3 linked regions of the Arabidopsis thaliana genome follow. The protein of the gene in region 1 interacts with the protein of each later gene in a pairwise test. Each region holds a gene or a part of one and is shown in the gene's direction. Other genes may lie near its edges.

What was found. Proteins that work in one complex are often made in the same cells at the same time.
Region 2: the proteins of WRKY56 (region 1) and AT5G08480 interact in binary tests that used the Arabidopsis thaliana proteins (3 or more experiments, as listed by UniProt).
Region 3: the proteins of WRKY56 (region 1) and AT4G37710 interact in binary tests that used the Arabidopsis thaliana proteins (3 or more experiments, as listed by UniProt).

Annotation. Positions count from the first base shown.
Region 1 is NC_003070.9:23,745,518-23,749,595, forward strand, and holds WRKY56 (WRKY DNA-binding protein 56), read left to right. Parts: upstream 1-1,786; 5' UTR 1,787-1,916; coding exon 1,917-2,317; intron 2,318-3,179; coding exon 3,180-3,366; 3' UTR 3,367-3,536; downstream 3,537-4,078. UniProt on the Arabidopsis thaliana protein: Transcription factor. Interacts specifically with the W box (5'-(T)TGAC[CT]-3'), a frequently occurring elicitor-responsive cis-acting element.
Region 2 is NC_003076.8:2,741,389-2,745,659, forward strand, and holds AT5G08480 (VQ motif-containing protein), read left to right. Parts: upstream 1-1,930; 5' UTR 1,931-2,455; exon of another isoform or gene 2,456-3,029; 5' UTR 3,030-3,097; coding exon 3,098-3,619; 3' UTR 3,620-3,723; downstream 3,724-4,271. Other genes in the region: PEX1 (peroxisome 1), read left to right, coding at 106-231, 311-372, 589-706, 939-1,211, 1,305-1,343; SLG1 (Tetratricopeptide repeat (TPR)-like superfamily protein), read right to left, coding at 3,820-4,271. UniProt on the Arabidopsis thaliana protein: May modulate WRKY transcription factor activities.
Region 3 is NC_003075.7:17,716,176-17,719,319, forward strand, and holds AT4G37710 (VQ motif-containing protein), read left to right. Parts: upstream 1-1,952; 5' UTR 1,953-2,058; coding exon 2,059-2,430; 3' UTR 2,431-2,596; downstream 2,597-3,144. Other genes in the region: PSK6 (phytosulfokine 6 precursor), read right to left, coding at 2,786-2,920, 3,015-3,143. UniProt on the Arabidopsis thaliana protein: May function as negative regulator of flowering transition.

The DNA of each region.
Region 1 (4,078 bases):
TAATTGTGTCATATATTTTATTTTATTTTTTAATTTTATATATAAGCCAAAAATTTAGCCTAACTACAAGCCAAAATTGTAATTGTTTTGCGGTTGTATAGTTTTAAGCTATCAATAACTATATTTCAATGTGGTAATCAATTGATTTTTGTAGATATTTAATTTACACAATAAGTTGAATCGGAAAGTTCAATTTTATATACTCTCTTTGTTTTTTATAAGTGATGTTCTAAGCTTTTATTTTTGTTTTTAAATATATGATATTTTAAAATTTTAATGCAAAATTTATTATATTTTCATTGGTTTTGATGATTTTTATTCCACAGATAATTTTTCTATTGGTTTATTAAATAATAAATGATATTTTAGTTTAAAGTAAACAAAAATTAAATAATTTATTAAGTGTGTATTCTCTTAAAACATCAACTAAATAAAAATTATAAAAGAAAAAATATATTTTAAGAAAATGGATCCACTAACATTTGATTTACATTTGTACATAATTTTATGGTTTATGAGAATGAGAAGCTTCCACGTGCATGCATGAGTTTGCATAGGTTAATTACATTTGGATGTATAATTATTCGAGCGGTCAAAGAGATTCTTAACAACCACAACCACAATAATTTGCTTAAGTCCATTTATCCGTATTTAATGCCCAACATTTTACGCGACTTCATGATTTCTATAAGTTTCATTATCGGTAGTATAACTTAGTAGGGGATGTATGGTTGGACGAACGAAATTTCAAAATGAAACTTTGCGAAAACGAAATGAAGGGGGATGCGAAATTCATAAAAATATCCCACTTTAATCATATAAATGTCTCATACTTAGAGTTAAAAGATCAATGATATGTTCAAATTAACCACTATATATAGTCCATATTACGTGGTGGAAATATCATTGGACAATGGAACAAATACGCAGAATTCTTATGGTATCGAGAAAAAAAAATCTTATCGTATTAATTCGTTATATAAATTATTTTTTTTTATATTTTTTTTTGACAAAATGTGAATATTATTAATCCATTATTGTGCATATAAATATCTATAAACAACGACAAGGATGATATAAATTTAGTGATCTAAAACAATCTCTAAATTTTAGCTAGTTCTCAAACCGACCAGACGTGCATTTCAGGCTCACGAGTGTGTGTATGGAGTTGGTACACTATATTTAACCACACGTTTGAAATGCAAATAAAAGCAAATTAATTACTACTTGTTACATGTAAATTTATAAGCAAGTTAAGCCTTTACCGAACATTCCCTTTGTCATGGGAAAACATCAACAAGAACTTTGACCATAAATATAACTAGATTTTGATCGGTTTATATGAAACATGTGAGTAGTTTTTCCACATGAAGTTAAAACAATCGTTACAATTTACATATTCTAAAAACATCAATACATATTACGAATTGGTGCCGAAATATATAAATTTAAATAAGCTAATCAATTTATTCTACAAACTATTCTCAAAATGTATAAGACCACTCAATATATATACCATCGATGTCAATTTTTGTTTTTTTAAAGATTAATATTTACTATTTAGATTTCAAAATATGGGTTGAAGTACATTTGACATGTACATGCATTTTTGGATATATATTAATATATGATTCTATATAATATATAGATCCAAAAACGTTGTAAAGAGATATATAGCTAGGAAAAGGAGGAAAGACTTAGGCAGTTGAACAGAAAAGTTAGGTGAATATAGTTGGCTTCAATATTATACCCTTTAACTCATTCTTCTTCTTTCTTTCCTACAAATATCCTTATAACCTTTCTTCTCCTCTTCTCCTTCTTCCTCTTATGCAAACATATATTTACATAAACACACACATATATATAGTAAGAGAGAGAGAGAGAGATCTAGCAAGATAGTGAAAGCTTCATAATCAATGGAAGGGGTTGACAACACAAATCCTATGTTAACCCTAGAAGAAGGCGAAAACAACAATCCTTTTTCTTCCTTAGATGACAAAACATTAATGATGATGGCTCCTTCGTTAATCTTTTCGGGCGATGTAGGTCCATCTTCTTCTTCTTGTACTCCAGCAGGTTATCATCTATCTGCTCAGCTGGAGAACTTTCGAGGAGGTGGAGGAGAGATGGGAGGATTAGTGAGTAATAATAGCAATAATAGTGATCATAATAAGAATTGCAACAAAGGAAAAGGGAAGAGAACTTTGGCAATGCAGAGGATAGCTTTTCATACAAGGAGTGATGATGATGTTCTTGATGATGGTTATCGTTGGCGAAAGTACGGTCAGAAATCTGTCAAGAACAATGCTCATCCCAGGTTCTTTTAATTTTATTTTATTGCGTCCCATACATTTACTAGTGTGTTTAAAAATATATATGACAACGTTAAAGTAGATATCGAAATTGACCTAAGCATATCTATAACATACACACACATCCTTGGTCACGTGTATATTTTGGAAACATTAGTTTAACAACCTAAACGACCAAAGTCATCAATTTAGGTTATTAGTCCGGTTGCATTACATTATTGCTTGTTTCTTGGAATTGGGGGTGTTCATTTTGTGGTTTATCCAAACCAATCCCTGACTTATATAATCCAAAATATAATTGGTATATATAACCAAAAATATTGTGTTTTTAAGTAACATTGATGTACCCCCAAATTTTGATCAATATATCACATTTACAACCTAAAAAGAACAATTTGGGCCTTTTATTTCGTTGTTGCTAGGAAACGATAACAGATGAAATCTTGCTCGCTTGACTGTTGTTGCTATGACAACATATTTTGGTTTGGTTTTAGTCGAATAAATCATATATCGATGAATCCATAGGTGATAATGAAACGAATATGGTTTGGTTGTTGCTGTTCGTCCAGCCCATATGTATATATAGTTTACATTGGATGATGTTTTCGTAGAACCAAACTAATAAACCCAAATTTTACTTAAAAAATTAGTTGTAAATTTTCAAAATGCATGTACTTACTTAATCAATACCTTAAATTACAATCTCTATTATCTGAAATTATTACCAATTATACCTCGTGAAGTCGTGATTAATATGAACTTTGTTCCATAAGATCTATACCAAAAAACTTAACATCGATAACACACATACATCACCTATATGGATTAATTTACTATTCACATTTTTATACAAAATAATATTTGCAGGAGCTATTATAGATGTACATACCACACATGCAACGTGAAGAAACAAGTGCAAAGACTGGCAAAAGATCCAAACGTTGTCGTAACAACCTACGAAGGTGTTCATAATCATCCTTGTGAGAAGCTCATGGAGACTCTTAGCCCTCTCCTTAGGCAACTTCAGTTCCTCTCAAGAGTTTCTGATCTGTAATTATTGAATGTTAATTAGTGGTGTAATACATTAATTATGCTTTAATCTCTCCATTGACCCTCAATCTCCAAAGAGACAAATGTATAGAATAAATCTCATAACATACATGCTTTAGGTTTATTGAGACATTGATCTATGTTTGCTTTAATTTGATTCGTCTAATTGTCCCTCTCTCGTGGATTATTTGTTTTTTTTTTAGGTGAACGATCACATTTAAACCAAGTGTAGTTAGCTCTGGTAAAAAGGTTTTAAGCAAAGGTTAGAAGTTGTTGGTTTGAATGATGCTTGGAACAAAACTAATAATAAATGTTGTGATTTCGGGTTTGAGTGGATTACGAGATTTGACCCCGAACCTTCTTCTATTTAAAAAAGAACAAAAAACACGATCACATTTAGGCATTTACTGGACCAGTTTTGAATTTAGAAAATGTTTGGGGTCATATTATGGATCTCAAAAGCTTTTTTTTTATGGGTTGCCAAAGCCCTTTGTTTGATTAAAGCAATAGCATGTTTGATCTGAGTATCTGACCAAGATTATGTCCTCGCAAAATATGAACGATTTAATACATCAAATCTGTTTTACACATATTATTCCGCATATATACTATCTACTTTAAAATGAAATGATTAACCTTAGTTCATAATGATTACGTGAAAAATGGTATTACATTTTGGGGTTTGGAGGATGCACAGAAACACAAGTGGTCGGATA
Region 2 (4,271 bases), on another chromosome or scaffold:
TGTTCCTTTTTAATTGTTATTCCTGCTAGTCTCTTTACATAAAAATCTGAAAATGTTATCCTAATGGTTCCGCATATACAATAATGGAAAACACACTTCTCTCAGGTCCGTGATATATTTTCGAAAGCAGCAGCTGCAGCTCCATGCATACTCTTTTTCGATGAATTCGATTCAATTGCTCCCAAAAGAGGACATGATAATACTGGTGTAACTGATCGAGTTGTTAATCAAGTAAGTTACTTCAAAGTCTGAGCAAATTCTATCCAAGTCAAAGTTCAAACATCTCATGTCATATTTTTCTTTTGCGTAGTTTTTGACAGAACTGGATGGAGTTGAAGTTCTAACAGGGGTCTTTGTATTTGCTGCAACCAGGTATTCACACCCGAATAAGTCTATCTTGCATATCATATTTTGTGTTCGATGTATCATATAATCAACTGCAAACGGTGGATTCTTCTGAGTTGATAGTTAATAATAAATCTTAAATATGATAATCTTGAAGCCTGTGCTCAGTCCTCAATTTATGTTTTTCATTACATACAAAAGAGGGATAATGACTTTATAATGGATACATGACTCAATTAACAGTAGACCAGATTTACTTGATCCTGCCCTCCTAAGGCCTGGCCGGCTTGATCGTCTTCTTTTGTGCGACTTTCCTTCCCCACCAGAACGATTAGAGATTCTTACAGTTCTTTCTAGAAAGGTTAGTACTCTCAGTTACATCATTTCTGCTAATCATTTTTGTCCTCAAGTCTCATGTAAAGTATGTATGCTACATATCTGAACGACCATTAACTAGAATCTTCTATGGCTAAGCGATTTCCATTGGATTCTGACATTCAATTGATGGTCTCCCTAGACAATATGTAGATAAGATTTATCTATATATATTACAAGTAGTTAAGATGACAAAAAATCTTTCTGCATTTTTACAGCTTCTGATGGCTGATGATATTGACCTAGAGCCTATAGCTTTGATGACTGAAGGCTTCAGTGGAGCTGATCTTCAAGCTCTTCTCTCAGATGCGCAACTTGCAGCTGTACACGAGTATCTGAACAGAGAAGATAAACCCGAGACCGGAACTACACCAATAATAACTGATCCTCTTCTGAAGTCGATTGCTTCTAAAACTAAACCATCGGTTTCCGAAACCGAGAAACAAAAGCTCTATGACATATATAGCCAGTTTCTGGATTCAAGAAAATCGGTATCTCTCTCATCTCCACTCTAATTCCTCTTCCCTTTTATACAAACCCAGTTGTTGATTACTAACAACATCAAAATCTTATTTTGCTTGTAGTCAAGAGAAGCAAAGGGCAAAAGAGCAACCTTAGCATAATCAAAGGTATTACAAAGACACAAAAAGGAATGGTTACATTGTAGAAATCACATCATGTTGTAAAATTTGCTTTATGATAGATATGCCCAGTTGTTAGCATTAGAGTAAAAGTGGTTGAAGTTTGGAATAAAGATAGTTAGATACTAGAGAGACACATGGTAAGTTCTACAAGATTCAAACGACTATAGACATCTCTACAGTAATAAGATTAATACATTTCTTTTGGCAATTTTAGAATTTTAAAAGCTGTAATATTTTTGGTCAAAACAAGATAAAAATGGTATTCAAGTTCCGTAATTTTGTGTATGAAATGAAATAAAAACGCATAGAAAAGAGTCAACTATTATCGTGCAACAAAATTTATCAGTCCAAAGCAAAAAAGGAAAAGAAACGACAACGTATTCGTAACTCACAGGTAAAGGTTGTTGCCTCCTATCTTTGACAATGCCAGTGAATAATGTTGTTAATTGTTATGGCCATAACTTGAAATGAGTCAACAAAATTATCCACAGAGGACGAATAGAGTCAGTTAAGAAACTGTCATGAGTACAGTTAATAATATCTCATCACATTCAACAGAGACAGCCAAAAAAAAAAAAACGATTGGTTTATAAATTGGGCGGGGGAGAGAGGTTGCTGTGACGTCTCTCTCTACCCATCTCCTTAACCGAAACGGCATGCATTTCTTCCTTCTTTAACTTCCTTTCTCCATTCCTTCACGACAACAATGAAATAAACTCATCACAAATTATGTCATTTTGATGTTTGACCAAACAAACTTAGTTCTATAAACAAAATAATTTATTATCTTTTTTGTGTGACAAAAACCCAAACCCAAAAACGGTTAAGAACAAAGGGATAAAAGAGTCCTTTTCCTCTTTCCTCTCCATATTCTTCTCCTGATTTTCCTCTTTTCATTTTCTTCTCTTTTCTGGTAATATGAACAAGTTCTGAGCTGTGACCATTAGACCAACAACAGTCTTTATATCTTCTTTTAGTTCTTTCTCTCTCTTTTTATTTCCTTCTTCTGTTTTAAGTTCTATTTCTTCAGAAAAAAATCCGGCATTCTCATTCGATTTTACCTCCACTTGTTGCCTCGGCTTGCTCTTCAGGTATGCCTTTTGACCTTTTTATCATTCTCTCTGACTCCTGTAGGGTTATCAAATCGTAAATTGAATGCTACATAGAAACTTTTATTAACAGTTCTCTCATCATATGAACTAGTAACCACCATAAAGATGATGATTATGACGATGAAGATAGATTTAGGACATGAAAAGCCCTCTTCATTGTCATTCCTACAATTAGTAAGAGCACCAAACTTTGATATAGATATTTGAGTATACAACAAGTCAAAGCAAATTTAGGAGAAGCCAATTTTTTATTATTTTTCCCCACATAAGAATCTAGTGCTCTTGTAAAAGTGGTGAGGTTTGAGTACACGACTACCTCATCTTTTGTATCTGTAGCTATTTATGTTTTGAGTTGCTTGTTTTTGAAAAATTATGACGAAGGAAATCTTTAACAAATACCTAATTTTGGATTACAAGAAGACTTCTGAGTATTTCTAACCTTCCATCAATCTAATCTCTGAACTCACATGAAGTTGACATTCCTCGGTTCTCTTGATAGGACCTTTCATGTTTGAATATTTTTTCATCTTCTCATCAACTGCATAAACGGTAGTTTTGTTGCAGGTCAGAGACCAAAATAGGTGTAAATCAAAGGTTGTTTTGTCAGAGAAACACTTACATATGAATAGCAAAGGGAGTCAAAACGTTGCAACAACCTGCAAGCCTGTCACTACATTTGTCCAAACTGACACCAACACTTTCAGAGAAATTGTGCAGCGCTTGACAGGTCCAACAGAGAACAACGCTGCAGCAGCAACACCAGAAGCAACAGTGATAAAAACCGCCATACAAAAGAGGCCAACTTCAAAGCTCCATGAGAGAAGGCAATGTATGAGGCCAAAGCTTGAAATTGTCAAACCTCCTCTGAGCTTTAAGCCCACTGGTACGACACCATCATCTAAATCTGGTAATACCAACCTTTTAACAAGTCCAGTGGGCACCCCTTCTTCATTGTTCTCTAACTTGTCCTTGATAGAAGGGGAACCAGATAGTTGTACAACAAACATCGAAGAAGAGGAGAAAGCCATTAAAGAAAGACGCTTTTACTTGCATCCATCGCCAAGGTCTAAACCGGGGTATACAGAACCAGAATTGCTTACTTTGTTTCCTTTAACATCTCCCAATTCGAGTGGCAAACCATAAACCCGACAGATTAATCATAAGTTTGTTCTCTGCCTACTATCCCAAAGATTATGTACATGTAGAGTTTCACAACAATATCATTGGAAGAGGAAGATTGTTCTCTTACATTGTTCACTCAAGATTTGTCTGTGTCATATGTGCAATTGCTTTGTGTAGACCATCATGATCTAGCTTCGCAGCGTTTTAACAATTTTCATCGATTAAAACACCACAGGCTCTTTCATCTGAAGATATAAAGCATTTACTAAGTCAAAAATACTGTCTCTACGAGGGTGAGAACAATCTCCAGACACAAAGACATTCCTTTGCCCATCCACTTCTAGCCAGCTACATCCCGCTGGCTTTTTCATTTCCTTTTTCTTCATTAGGTTTCTCAACTCCATCACGCCTTCCCATTTAGCATCTGCAGCATACATATTCGATATTAGAACGTGGTTTCCGGTGTCGTCAGATTCAGCTTGCAAGAGATGATTTGCAACTGAGTGCCCCAGATCCATCCTATTATAGGTTGTACACGCCCTTAACAGTGTTCCCCATATATTTGCATTAGGTTCAACTGGCATCTGTGTGACAAAAGAATATGCATCATCAAGTCGACCCCCTCGAGCAATTAGATCTACAGCACAAGCATATTGTTCCATTGTAGGTTTCA
Region 3 (3,144 bases), on another chromosome or scaffold:
TTTAGTGATAGCAGTCACAATGTTGATGAGGATGATGGAAGAAGTACGACGGGTCATATTTTCTATCTTAATGACTGTCCTATCACTTGGTGCTCGCAAAAGCAAGAAACTGTGGCTCTATCGTCTTGTGAAGCTGAGTTTATGGCGGCTACAGAGGCAGCAAAACAAGCGGTTTGGCTTCAAGAGTTACTTGAAGAGATTGTTGGAAAAACGTGTAAGCAAGTGTTGATATTAATTGACAACAAGTCGGCTATAGCACTCACGAAAAACCCGGTTTTCCATGGACGAAGCAAACACATTCACAAGAGGTATCACTTTATTCGTGAGTGCGTTGCGAATGAACAAGTTGAGGTGGAGCACGTCCCCGGAACCGAACAGAGAGCCGACATTCTAACAAAGGCACTCGGGAGAATCAAGTTCAAAGAGATGAGAGATCTTGTGGGAGTTCAAGATATGACAAAGTGTAGCTTCAAGCTTAAGGGGGAAAATGTTGGAGTAAGCTTGAAGCTTACTTGAAGAAGAAGCAATCAAGCAAAAAGGAAATTAAAATTAGACTTTGTGTTTAGGAAGTTGCCTAAATACTTATGTGTGTTTTCCTAATAGGATTAGGAAATTGTCTAGTTCTTTTCTTATATAAAGGAGTTGCAAGAGTGTTGCAAAACTTATGAGTTGAGAGATTAAGATTGTGTGTTTTTAGGTTTTGAGTTATTTTCTTAAAGCAATAAAAGAGAGAGTCTTTTATTCATAATCTTGTTCTTATTCTTGAGTTTGATATATAGTTTGAATCAATATATTTTACAAGCATTCGTCACACATCTGATATATACACATTCCACACTCAATCAAAGTATGGCACGGCACAATCCCAATGATGCATTTAGATTTCTCTCTTCTATGACATTCTCCTTCCATCACTACTCCATCTGCACATCATCACTTTCATCATCAAGGCGTTTTCTTTACATACTCCGGTTGAGTTTATGCTCTTCTAAAAAACCTGCAAAAATCAAATCAAAATTTTCATTACAACGCCTTCTGAATTTCAGAAAACTATGTGCAACATAATCATGCAAGTATCATATACTAATCTAAAAATAAAATAAAAACCTTTATGCCCAAATATCCATTTCAGACATATATTTTAGTTTTTCAAAGAAACTAATCTTCTTAATAAAACAGAACTAGGATTGTTATTTTTCCTATATATCAATATGAACAATTAAATTCAAGTAGATTCTTTCAAGACTGCCTAATTTATTTTCCATTTCAAGACAATTTTAAGACTAATCTACCAAATCAAATAACCACGAGAACAGAGGTTAAGCTTCTTTGTTATTATCATCTTATGTGACCTCTTCCAAATATATATATATCTCAAATGTTTTAAATCTGAAAGATATCTAGAGCATCGTAGTTAAAGAAATAAACCAAAAGAGTTACCGTTATGTAACGTTCAAATTTACCTTTTTCTCTAACGTTCCGACTGACGTGACTCTTATGCGCACTGTATTACTAGAAATCAAAATAATAGATTAGTTTGTTTTTTTGTTACGGCTAATAGATTACTTGTTATAAAAGTAAATAAAATAAAAAGATCAAGGAATCCGATTAGATTCAAATCCGAAGGCTATTGATAAGTACTTAATCTTCTTACCATTACAGATAATATCAAACCGTCACGTGGACAGCCACAGCTTTCTTTATTATAATATTTGATAAAGTATTAATTCAGTTTGATTAAAGAATCTTCCTCTTAATAGTTTAATCCTAATCAGAAACTTCGAAAACTATCAAATCAATAAAATATTAAGAACACACACGTTGAAAATTCCCCTTTCACTTATGATTCTCATAAACAAAACTAAGAAAAACAAACAATGTTCTCAATAGTCAATTCCCTAATAAGAGTCAAAAACCAAAGGCTTGACCCTCGTTGAACATGTTGCACATCCATCATTATATATCAGAAGAACATAACTTTCACATTCAAAGATCAATAAATATCAGAAGAACATAACTTTCACATTCAAAGAATTTTAAGCGACATCTCAAGTCTCAATGGAAGCAACATCACAACAATTTATGTCTCAGAGTTACCTTAACGCTCAAGAAACCACCACAAGGGCAACGAAAAATTACCTAACTTCGCTCCATTCGACACGTAAACAACCTTCAAAGCCCTTGAAGAGGCCTGCAATATCATCACCTTTGAATCCAATGCATCCTCATGTCTACCGAGTCGAGCCAGTAAACTTCAAAGTGTTGGTTCAGAGGCTAACCGGTGCACCTGAGCACGAGACTGTGCAGGCTAAACCGCTCAAGACTTCGGATGATGCAGCAAAGCAGAGTTCTTCGTCATTTGCGTTTGATCCATCATCATCTTGGGGAGATTTCTCATTCCAAAATCCTGCAAATATTTCCAGATGGTAGCTTCTACTCTTGCAAAATGCTTCTTTTGATTGAAATGCTTAACATTCTTGTATTTATTTTTAGTTTGTTTTTAATAAACCAGAAAGATGTAATCATATATTTTTCAGACTCGCATTCTAGAATTAATTTGTTATGTCATTTATCTGTAACACACACATAATTTGTGGGAGTTAAGACTTTTGATTAAAATAAAACATAATTGGATTGATTAAGGATTCTAACTACATTGGGAATAATTTGATATTTTCATTAAAAGAATAAATTGAATTAATCAATGATTCTATATACACATGTTTAACATGTGAGAATAATTTGAAATTCACAACAATTAACGTTAGAATAATTTTACAGCTAATTAATGATGATTATTCTTATGTGTGTAGATATAATCAAGATGAGCCGTCAATGTTCTTCTCACCAAGCAATCTTCGTCGTCTTCTTTATCGCAGCTCTCTCCCGCCACCTCATGTAATTTTGATTCTATCATTTCCTGATGAAACACAATGAAACATAAAATTACAAACGAAAATATATAACTACGCATGAATCAACATTCAACATGTGTTTACGCATATAATACTAACCAGACTAAGTGTATCCGCCGGAGAGGTTGTGAAGGAGGCGAAGTAGGCAGGTTCAGGGCGGGCGCTGCACGTTAGCATGGTGGCGCAAAGGAGGAGAGCTATCGTGATCAAAGTAGAGAGATTTGCCATT